2 linked regions of the Drosophila melanogaster genome follow. The protein of the gene in region 1 interacts with the protein of each later gene in a pairwise test. Each region holds a gene or a part of one and is shown on either strand. Other genes may lie near its edges. The genes, in order: CG15130 and CG6726.

Region 1 (3,891 bases):
CGATCCGAAGGATAATGCCACAGCGCGGATATATGATCCATCCGATTCGCAATATAATCGCCCCTCGGTTTCGATTTTCCCCCAGTGTTCCTCTGCTTGGGTTGGCTGCGCTCTGCTTTTTTCAGCAACTACTTTCTAAATTTTCTCTGCATGCCTTTTCTGCGACGAGCGCCACCGATGTGCCACCGAACGAGAGCCTGAACTGAAACTGATTCGGGATAGCACACAGCACACATTTTGTTGAATGAGTAGGTGAATGAGTGCTGCCCCAACTCGCTGGGGCGACACTGAGTGCTCCTGCGCAAGCGCCTCAATCCCAGCGAGTGCCATTTTGGGGTCCATTGTGAACGGTTCGGCCAATGCCATCGCGAGTTTCGTCCTTCCAGGTGGCGCCACCTTTCGATAAGCACTACGCGGTTCTTTAAAACTAAGTTTAGAGTTTCGAAACGTATGTACCTAATGGGCTAAGTTAACACCTCAATAAATGTTTTGATCAAACGATTACTTCCAGGAAAACTCTCATTCAGTGAATAAAAAAAGTGGTAGATGGTGTAGATGGTACTGGCAAGTGGGCACCCTTCTCGGCCTGCTCGCACACCATATCGTCCTCATCATGGATGCTAATGGATCTAGAAGCATCATCGAACTCCGTTTTATATCCGATCAGGAAAATTATGAACAATTTTGCCAGACATCCGATTGCAGTATCCGCTAAAGTTGCGGTTAATTGTGATTTACTCTTATTTACTTAAGATTTAATAATATTATTAAAATTCGCCATCACAAAACAACTATAAGTAAGCCAGCAGACTTTCCTCAGTGGCTTCATAACAATTGTTTATCTGGAAGACGTATATAAAGGGACAAAAGGACCACGTCCCCTCAGTCTGATTGAGTAATTGCAGTCACACATAAGACCGGACGCCAATTCCTTCATTCTACAGTCATTAGGCCATATTCCGGCGCCTCCAAATCCCGCCCAGACCTTAGTAGTTAGCATCTCAGCGAGCGCGGAAAGTAACAAAACCAATTGGGTGTGACCAGCAGGTGACCATGCCCGTTTAACTAACCACTTGCATGTTGTCCTTTGTTGGGGGAGGACTGTCCTGGCCCCGCGATTCCCCGCTGTTGCGCCCCCGATCCTTGCGGTATGTAAAGTGAGTGGGTCTTTATCCTGAGGCATGCGGCACCGCACCCATTTTCTTGGACTCGAGTCGAGTTTGTTGTCATTTTAGCATTCATATTCACAATGTACCAGGGACGGATTTTTACAAAGGAGGTTGAGTTTGTTCATAATACTTTATACAGATATTTAGGAACTGTATAATTTTACCACTTTAAAATCAAATGAAGGTTTTTAAAAAAGGTTTTTATCGTTTTTTCCAAATATACCTTATGTTCAGAACATGAACTTGTTAGTTGTTAAGGACTAACTATTGCAAGTTTCGTAAGGACAAAGGTGTTCCAGATTCCTCCATCCGAAGCAATCCTGCCCTGTGTCTAGTAAAATATCTATCATTGCCTTTTCTAGTTTCAGGCTTCATTTGTCCACAGGAGGGGATGGCTCCATTGTTTGTTATTTTACAAGTTAGCCATTTTGCCGCCACATGGATACACCCCGCGAATTATTTTTCCAGAAGGAAGGGAGTGTGTTGGGCCGCGCCTCCCTTACCAACTTATTTGGTGGGACAGGCCAGTTCGGACCAGTTCCTGGGCCAGCAGTAGGAACTGGATTGGCCAGGCAGCCGGACGTGTTTTGGGAGCAGCTCCGCGGTTCCAGCACCTGACAGAGCTCACAAACCAAGCGGAAAATGGATGACGATTCGGATATCTTCGATGAAATGTGGCTGGAAAGTGTGGTCATAGCGGGCTTCCGAGTGTGGCACATTATCGCCGCCGTTCTGGGTGTCCTCCTCCTAATAAGTGAGTACATCATAGCTGTAGCTTCGGTCTGGACACAGTTTAATCGAATCATTGCCGCAGTGATTATGGTATGCTGCTGCATTCGCTTCCGTATACCGCGCACCAAGCAGGAAATCGAGGCGGACTACCAGCGCAAGCAGATCACAAAGAAGTTCCGCGAGAAGCTGCAGCAGATCAAGAACTCCGAAATGGACGACATGGACCTGCAGAAGGGTGAGAAAGTGGCTCCGCCATCTCATTACCCCCGCTCATACATACACATCGCGTAGAAAACCTGTGTACCAACTGCCCCACTTTCGCTGTCACCCTAATGCGAGCCAAGCCCTTTTCCTGTCTGGAGCTCCTCCTACCCATCCTCACTATCCCGCCCATCCACCACCCACCTCCCACACGAGTTCACGCATTTGTATATATACAAAATGATAAACGACTCCTCCAGCTGACTCCTCTTGTCGCACGCTAGTTACCTCACACTGAGAAAAATTCTTTCTGAAGTTTTTGAATGTGAAGGGATTTCTTATAGAGAGATGCTAGTCAGCTGAATAATTAGGTGTCTAAATAACTTGTTAATTGTAGTATTTTATGGCATTACAACCATTTAAGATAAGTTCCGAACCACAATTGGACGAAAAGCACTTCTGTTTTCCAATCTTGATAGCAAATTTATAAAAAGGGGCTTAAAATAACATAAACGGAAAAGTAGTAGCTTGCGATACAAAACTTTGATCTTCAGTTATCCCACCAGTAATCAATTTAATTTCGACTGAAATGGTTTTTTAATATTGTTACGTTATTTTAAAATATTTCAAATTCAAAATATTCACTCTCAGTTATCTTCTTCTAATAGAATAATAATCAAAATTGCATTTCAAGTCAGTATCTTCTTGAGTTTTGGACTTGTTCCAAATTTATGAGAACTCTTCGCATGCTTGGAACGAATTTTTCCCAGTGTTAAGCGATTTACTCACTTATTCTATCCATCTCGCCCTGCCGCTTCTCTATCACAGCACTTGCTTATATCAAATTGGAACAGTACGATGATCCCTAGGGGCTCTGTAAATTCACCCGCACCCTGTACAAACTATCGGAAGTACTTAAGCAGTAAACTCTCTATCGCAATGAACACTGCCACTGTAAGTAAGTAGCACATCTCAATAGTAACAGTCAAAGCGCTCCTCAGTCCCAACTTAGTTTACCCAACACATTTCTTTCAGTGTGTGCCCGCATCCAGAGCGACTATCTCAACTTCCAGGTCAGCATGGAGAGCATGAACGCGAAGCAGAATGTTAAGTTTAAGATCTAAGTGCCTGTTATAGTATTGTGCAGCGGAGATGGTATACCTAAGCGAAATATTAGTAACATTTAAGACATTATGTGCAATTAAAAGCTAATAAGCTAGAAAATAAAGTGTATTCGAGCGTCTGCAGCTAGCTAGAGATTAAAAGAGTGTCCCTTTTTTTATTTTACATTGCAGTTTGATTTTCTCGTTTTTATTAATTCCGATTGCTGTATCAAAGGTTTGTTAATATTTGCAGTACGTTTTTAAATGCGCTTTCTACACATACAGGCTAATTGCGGGGATGAATCCTCCATTGCGACTATATAACAAGTTGGTGGCATCCCTTAGTCGTGTTGCTCGCTTTGACATGGTAGTTTTAGTTCTCATGTTGCACTTAAGTCTACGTTTATTTGTTTAAAATGCGGCTCAGCTGTGGCGCTGACTCGGCCTATGACTGTAACAAATTGGCGGAGACACGGATTTGACGATGACTCGACACAAACACACACAATTCATTTACTAACGCGTAACTATTAATTCTTTGATCATTATTTTGCTGAGCTTACATTTAGCCTTACGGTTCTGTTTGGAATACTTGGGTTTGTCTTGCAATCTGGTTTAGTTTATGTTGGATTCACCATTCGGATATCGAATTTTAATACACAATTTATTTTTTGTATTTATATAAA
Region 2 (5,964 bases), on another chromosome or scaffold:
AGAGCTGAGCTCCTTTTTTTCGTTCCACCTAATGCCTGACACACACACACACAAATTGAAGCTCTCCAGGCGATGCAAACGCATGCCCTCCGGATTGTCCTTGAGCTGTCAGTCCGCCAGCAACCCAATTCCCATTCCATATTTCCATACTACCGAAACTTTGCCATGGGCTCTGAAAAAAGCTCGAACAAAAGGAAATGTACGCTCTGGGCCGAGGGATATGGTAAATGGTAAATGGCAGAGGAGGATTATATCAGTTCTCTCGCTTTTATTTTTTTTTTTTGCTTTTTTTGGCCAGGTAATGCGCCCATAACGGATTAGGCGATATCCTCGGGGTTCCATCTCTGCAGTTCTGCAGGTTTTGGGTGCTCAACGCAAACAGTTTCCGGCGTTGCCCGGATAATTGTTACAATATACAAAATTTTCATTTAGTTTATTTGCCCAGCGACAACATGTCAGCTCAGCAGCAACATCAGCAAACAACAAACAGGCGCGCCCCCAAGTCACCACCATGGGCGAAAAGTGAATAATTTGGCATCAGATAAGTAGATTCGTGTTTTACTCGACTAAGAATGAACTACTTTAGCCTCTGTACAGACTTATAGACTCTATTCTAGGGACATTACATTCGAATTATGCCAAAAACTTGCCATTTTGGCCCATTGTGCAGCTGAACGAGTGTTTGTGCGCAGGAAACTTGTGTATTTATTTGACTTATGTGACGCTGTAAATGGGGAGAGTACGAGTTTGTACGAATGTGGGGCTTGGATGTTATTTAAAATGCAGACATGTGTAGCCTGTAGTTGCTGCTATTGCTGCTGGTGCGCCATTAAAATCCCAGCAACATTGTTAATGAACTTTTAATGACTTTTTGTGAGTACACACACTAAAACAATATCAACTTTGGCCTAGCAGGGTGTGTATGCGACACAAATCAGAGGGCTTTGGTTTTGTGTATTTTTTTTGGCCCAACCACCTTTTTTTCTGTATGGGAACAAGCGTGAAATCTAAATGCGAAACTAACTTTTGACACACTACTGGGACAACAGACGCAGTGCAGCAAAGTCGGCAAGTGCAGCAGGAACACTATTAATATGCGAAATTTGAATTGGATTCGAGTGGCTGAAAGGCCCGAGGAGGGGCAACTTGTTTACCCGGAAGCCCACTGGGCGTGTGGTGCGAACGTGTGCAGTGCATCTTGATTAACAAATCAACTGGAATTGGAATGCGATTGCATGCGATTCATCAGTAATCGGAAATCTTGGCTGCGGGCCAAATGGGGTCACCATCAATCCAGCAATCCTGCAGTCCTGTTACCCCCAAAGCAATGCGAAGCACCTTCGCCTCCATTTAAGGCAAATAAATCCATCAGCCAGGGGGAATCCCAAGTAAATGAGCCTTAAAGTGGGTTCATATGTACCGGAAAGTGATGGAAGAATGTTCACCAATACATGGAGTGGAATCCCTACCAATTGGGATGGTACAGAAATAGAGTTCCACTCCTTGTGCTATGAGCTGCAAAATTCAGTTTAATTTATAAATAATGCAGTACAAGATAGAAATTACTATTAGGGGATGTCTCTTTTGTAATCAATTGAATTTTTGAGTGCTGGATATTAAATTCATCAAATTAGTTTCTCATATAGAAATGGGAAGACACGAATATTATTAATGACGGAAGCAATTGTTAACTGCAAGTCATTTGTACTGAAAAGTAGATTAGCCATCTAAAAAGTAAACAAATGCGTAAGATAAAACAGTTTATAGGCAGCACCGTATGATAAGAAATTAGGTTTAGTTCCTTCTCGGATTTATTATCATGCCCTCTCTTTCGCTCGCTTATCGCTGATATTTAAACGCGCGCTTCTCTCCACGATCGCACAGTCGTCGTCGAGCCAGTGTTGCGAAAGGTGTGTTGTGTGTCTGCTCTCCGCTGTGGTGAAGTGTCGATCAGCTGATTTCAGCAAACAATTTAATTGATTTGTTATCAGCCGGCTAATTATTTACATTTTATAGAGTGCAAAATGAGTACAGCCAAGTGGGAGAACAACGAGGAGATTAAGATCTTTCGCGAATATCTTCGCATACCAACGGTGCATCCAAATGTGGATTACAGTGAGTTCCAATGGGCATGTATATCTTTATGAGGCTGCGATAAGAGTACCCTGATCTTTATGACCTTGCCATAAAATGTGTCTGCTATTTATAGCCGTTTGCACGGAATTCTTGAAACGCCAGGCTGCCAGCTTGGACCTGCCCGTGGAGGTTATCTATCCGGTGAACGAGCAGAATCCCGTGGTGGTGCTAAAATGGCAGGGTTCCCAGCCGGAACTGCCCTCCATCATTCTCAATTCGCACACGGATGTAGTGCCCGTTTTTGAGGAGAAGTGGACACACGGTCCATTCAGCGCGGATCTAGATGCAGAGGGTCGCATCTTTGCGCGCGGATCGCAGGACATGAAGTGCGTGGGCACCCAATATCTGGGAGCTGTGCGTGCCCTCAAGGCCAGTGGCTATCAACCCAAGAGGACGATCTATCTCACTTATGTTCCGGACGAGGAGGTTGGCGGCCACCTGGGCATGCGGGAGCTGGTAAAGAGCGACTACTTCAAGAAGCTCAATGTGGGATTCAGTTTCGACGAGGGAATCTCTAGTGCGGATGAAACCTACGCTCTGTACTACGCTGAACGGACTCTTTGGCGTGAGTAGGATTGACTCATACAAACAATTTAAGCTAGCCATGTTTTCCTGCAGATCTTCGTTTCAAGATCAGCGGAACTGCTGGTCACGGATCACTGTTGCTCCCGAATACTGCTGGCGAGAAGCTGAACTATGTGGTAGGCAAAATGATGGAGTTCCGCAAATCGCAAGTGCAAAAACTAGCTGACGACTCATCCCTCGAAATTGGTGATGTGACCACTGTGAATCTCACCCAACTGAGGGGCGGAGTCCAGAGCAACGTGGTTCCCCCATTGCTGGAAGCTGTATTTGATATCCGCATTGCCGTCACCGTGGATATCCCTGCCTTTGAGAAGCAGATTCGCGACTGGTGCGAGGAGGCTGGCGGCGGCATTGAACTGGAGTTTGAGATGAAAAACCCCTTTGTGGAGCCAACAAAGATTGACTCGTCGAATGCCTACTGGCTGGCCTTTAAGAAAGCACTCGATGACCTGTAAGGATGAGAAGCTCTGACAAAAGGCATGGCTCTGATATCCTTTCTCCTTGTTTCTTTCAGTGGCCTCAAGACACGGGTTCGTGTTTTCCCCGGCGCCACGGACAGTCGTTATATTCGCTACGCAGGCATTCCAGCTCTAGGATTCTCGCCCATTAACAACACCCCCATCCTGCTGCACGACCACGATGAATTCCTGAAAGCCGATACCTATTTGCACGGCATTGAGGTTTACAAGAAGCTCATTCCTGCCGTAGCTGATGCTTAGCGAACTCAATTCAATTATGAAATAATGCATTTAATGCTTACTTGTCGATGTTTATTGTAATAACTTTAAACAAGCAGGCTTATAAAAACCCATTTAAATAAACAATGTATGAATAAATAAGCCAGTCCATAGTCCATACCATTAATGGTGAGCAAAAAAAGGAAATTTAAATGAAAATGAATAAGTTTATGGTTTACTATTATGGCTTTGCTAGATAACATTAAGCTCTTAGCGCAAAGATGAAAATCCGCAAATTGTGGGCTCTTCTAATCAAGTAGCTTAAAGTCAACAACTGATAATGCCATTAAGTCAATCCACACTCAGACTTCAAACCAAACAGCACGGTGGATTACAAGTCAGTTCCTTTAGAACCACGGGGCATTCAACTCAAAATGTGCACTTGCACGGAACAATGGAAGAACGACGAGGAAATAATCATTTTCCAGGAGTATTTGCGCATTCCCTCGGTGCATCCAGACGTGGACTACAGTAAGGATTTGTTTTTCCGCTCCTTGGATTTTGTTATCCCTATTTCCCTTGCAGCTGCATGCGTGGAGTTCCTAAAACGCCAGGCTAACAAACTTAATCTCCGCGTGGACGTGGTGTATCCTGTTGTGCCTTCGAAACCGGTGGTGATTATGAAGTGGCTGGGCAAGCATCCCGAGCTGAAATCCATTATATTGAACTCACACATGGACGTGGTGCCCGTGTTTCCCGAAAAGTGGACCCATGAGCCGTTTGGTGCCCACATAGACGCCCAAGGCCGGATTTATGCACGCGGTGCCCAGGACATGAAGTCCGTGGGATGTCAGTACATGGCTGCGGTCCGTGCACTCAAAGCCAGTGGCTATCAGCCAAAAAGGACCGTATATTTGACTTTTGTGCCCGACGAGGAAACTGGCGGACACATGGGCATGGCTGAATTCGTCAAGGGTGATTACTTCAAAGCCATGAATGTGGGCTTTAGCCTGGACGAGGGCATCGCCAGTGAAGATGACACTTATCCTGTATTTTACGCCGAGCGTACATTGTGGCGTAAGTCTTCCATTTGCATCAGTAGCAATATATTCTGATTCATTTTATACCCCTGCAGAACTTCGATTTAAATTCAGTGGCACTTCAGGTCATGGATCGCTGCTGCACAAAAGCACGGCTGGCGAAAAGTTTCACTTTGTGATGGATAAGCTGATGAAGTTCCGAGAAACCCAGGTCAAGCTACTGGCCGAGGACTCCTCCTTGCAGTCCGGTGATGTGACCACTTTGAACCTGACCCAACTCAACGGTGGCGTCCAAAGCAATGTGGTTCCCCCCGTACTAGAAGCCACTTTTGATATTCGCATAGCCATCAACCAGAATGCCGATGCAATGGAGAATCAGATTCGCGAGTGGTGCAACGAAGTCGGTGGTGGAGTGGAACTGGATTTCACGCTGAAGTGCCCCTCGGTGGTGACCAAGATAGACGACTCCAATCCCTACTGGCTGGGCTTCAAAAAGGGACTAGATGAACTGTAGGTAAACAAAGATTGTGTAGTTTTCACTTCATAATTTGTTGAAATTTTCCAGAGGTTTGATCACCCATACACGAGTTTTCCCCGGCGCCACCGATAGCTTCTACGTCCGGCAAGTGGGAATTCCCGCTCTGGGATTTTCACCCATCAACAACACCCCGGTGCTGCTGCACAATCATGATGAATATTTGCGGGCCGACACATATCTGCACGGAATTCAGGTGTACAGGAAGCTCATCCCCTCTATTGCTGATTCATAAAATGTTCAAGCGAAGTTCCACTCATAAATGGAAATCAATATGCTACAATTGGTCTTATCGCTTATGAGTAATGTTTTTGGCTCGATGAGTGTAGGACCAAAATTAAATGTTTAAATGGTGTGACTACTACAAATCATATCTGTTTCTAAACAAATGAAAATCACACACTGATAACACGAGTTTCAGAAGAGAGTTTTTGTCATGGACTTTGCCCTCATTCAATATCCAATAAATCGTCACAACTATTGATATCGTTCTCAAAAACTAACGTAACCTTCACGTAAAGGGGTTGTATTTTATATATACATCATAATTATCAATAATTACATTAATATGTATTCTATTTTCTTATCAAACCAAATACAAATTATAATAACCCATTTTTTCGCAGACCATAAACGACGGTGGTTGAGTTTTATTGGTGTTATGTGAACTTTATCGAATTGGCTACCGTTTGCTATTAGACATTTGTTTTGGTAGAATTTTGTACAAGAATATGTGCTGTTATCATTTCTATAACAACCGAGTTTGATAACGAACTCATTATTTGATAATAATACGAAGCCAAGGCCATAAAACCAAAATCACCCAACACACAAAAATTTCTGTATAAGTTCATTTTTTGCCAACTGCGGCACATTCGAGTTTGGTGACTGGCAGCGAAAACATATCCACAAAATGAGCACCGAAAAGTGGGAGGACAACGAGGAAATCAAAATATTCCGCGAATATTTGCGCATAGCTACGGTGCAGCCA

The links.
Region 2: the proteins of CG15130 (region 1) and CG6726 interact in a two-hybrid assay, tested with the Drosophila melanogaster proteins (one large-scale study listed by BioGRID).

Annotation. Positions count from the first base shown.
Region 1 is NT_033779.5:20,422,520-20,426,410, reverse strand, and holds CG15130 (uncharacterized protein), read left to right. Parts: upstream 1-1,750; 5' UTR 1,751-1,811; coding exon 1,812-1,923; intron 1,924-1,983; coding exon 1,984-2,136; intron 2,137-2,930; coding exon of another isoform or gene 2,931-2,971; exon of another isoform or gene 2,972-3,060; intron 3,061-3,137; coding exon 3,138-3,226; 3' UTR 3,227-3,305; downstream 3,306-3,891.
Region 2 is NT_033777.3:23,089,847-23,095,810, forward strand, and holds CG6726 (uncharacterized protein), read left to right. Parts: upstream 1-1,877; 5' UTR 1,878-1,910; intron 1,911-1,930; exon of another isoform or gene 1,931-2,016; 5' UTR 2,017-2,024; coding exon 2,025-2,115; intron 2,116-2,209; coding exon 2,210-2,701; intron 2,702-2,754; coding exon 2,755-3,172; intron 3,173-3,235; coding exon 3,236-3,440; 3' UTR 3,441-3,587; exon of another isoform or gene 3,588-3,613; intron 3,614-3,651; exon of another isoform or gene 3,652-3,654; 3' UTR 3,655-3,832; coding exon of another isoform or gene 3,833-3,929; intron 3,930-3,983; coding exon of another isoform or gene 3,984-4,475; intron 4,476-4,533; coding exon of another isoform or gene 4,534-4,948; intron 4,949-5,003; coding exon of another isoform or gene 5,004-5,208; 3' UTR 5,209-5,338; downstream 5,339-5,964. Other genes in the region: CG17110 (uncharacterized protein), read left to right, coding at 3,833-3,929, 3,984-4,475, 4,534-4,948, 5,004-5,208; CG17109 (uncharacterized protein), read left to right, coding at 5,887-5,964.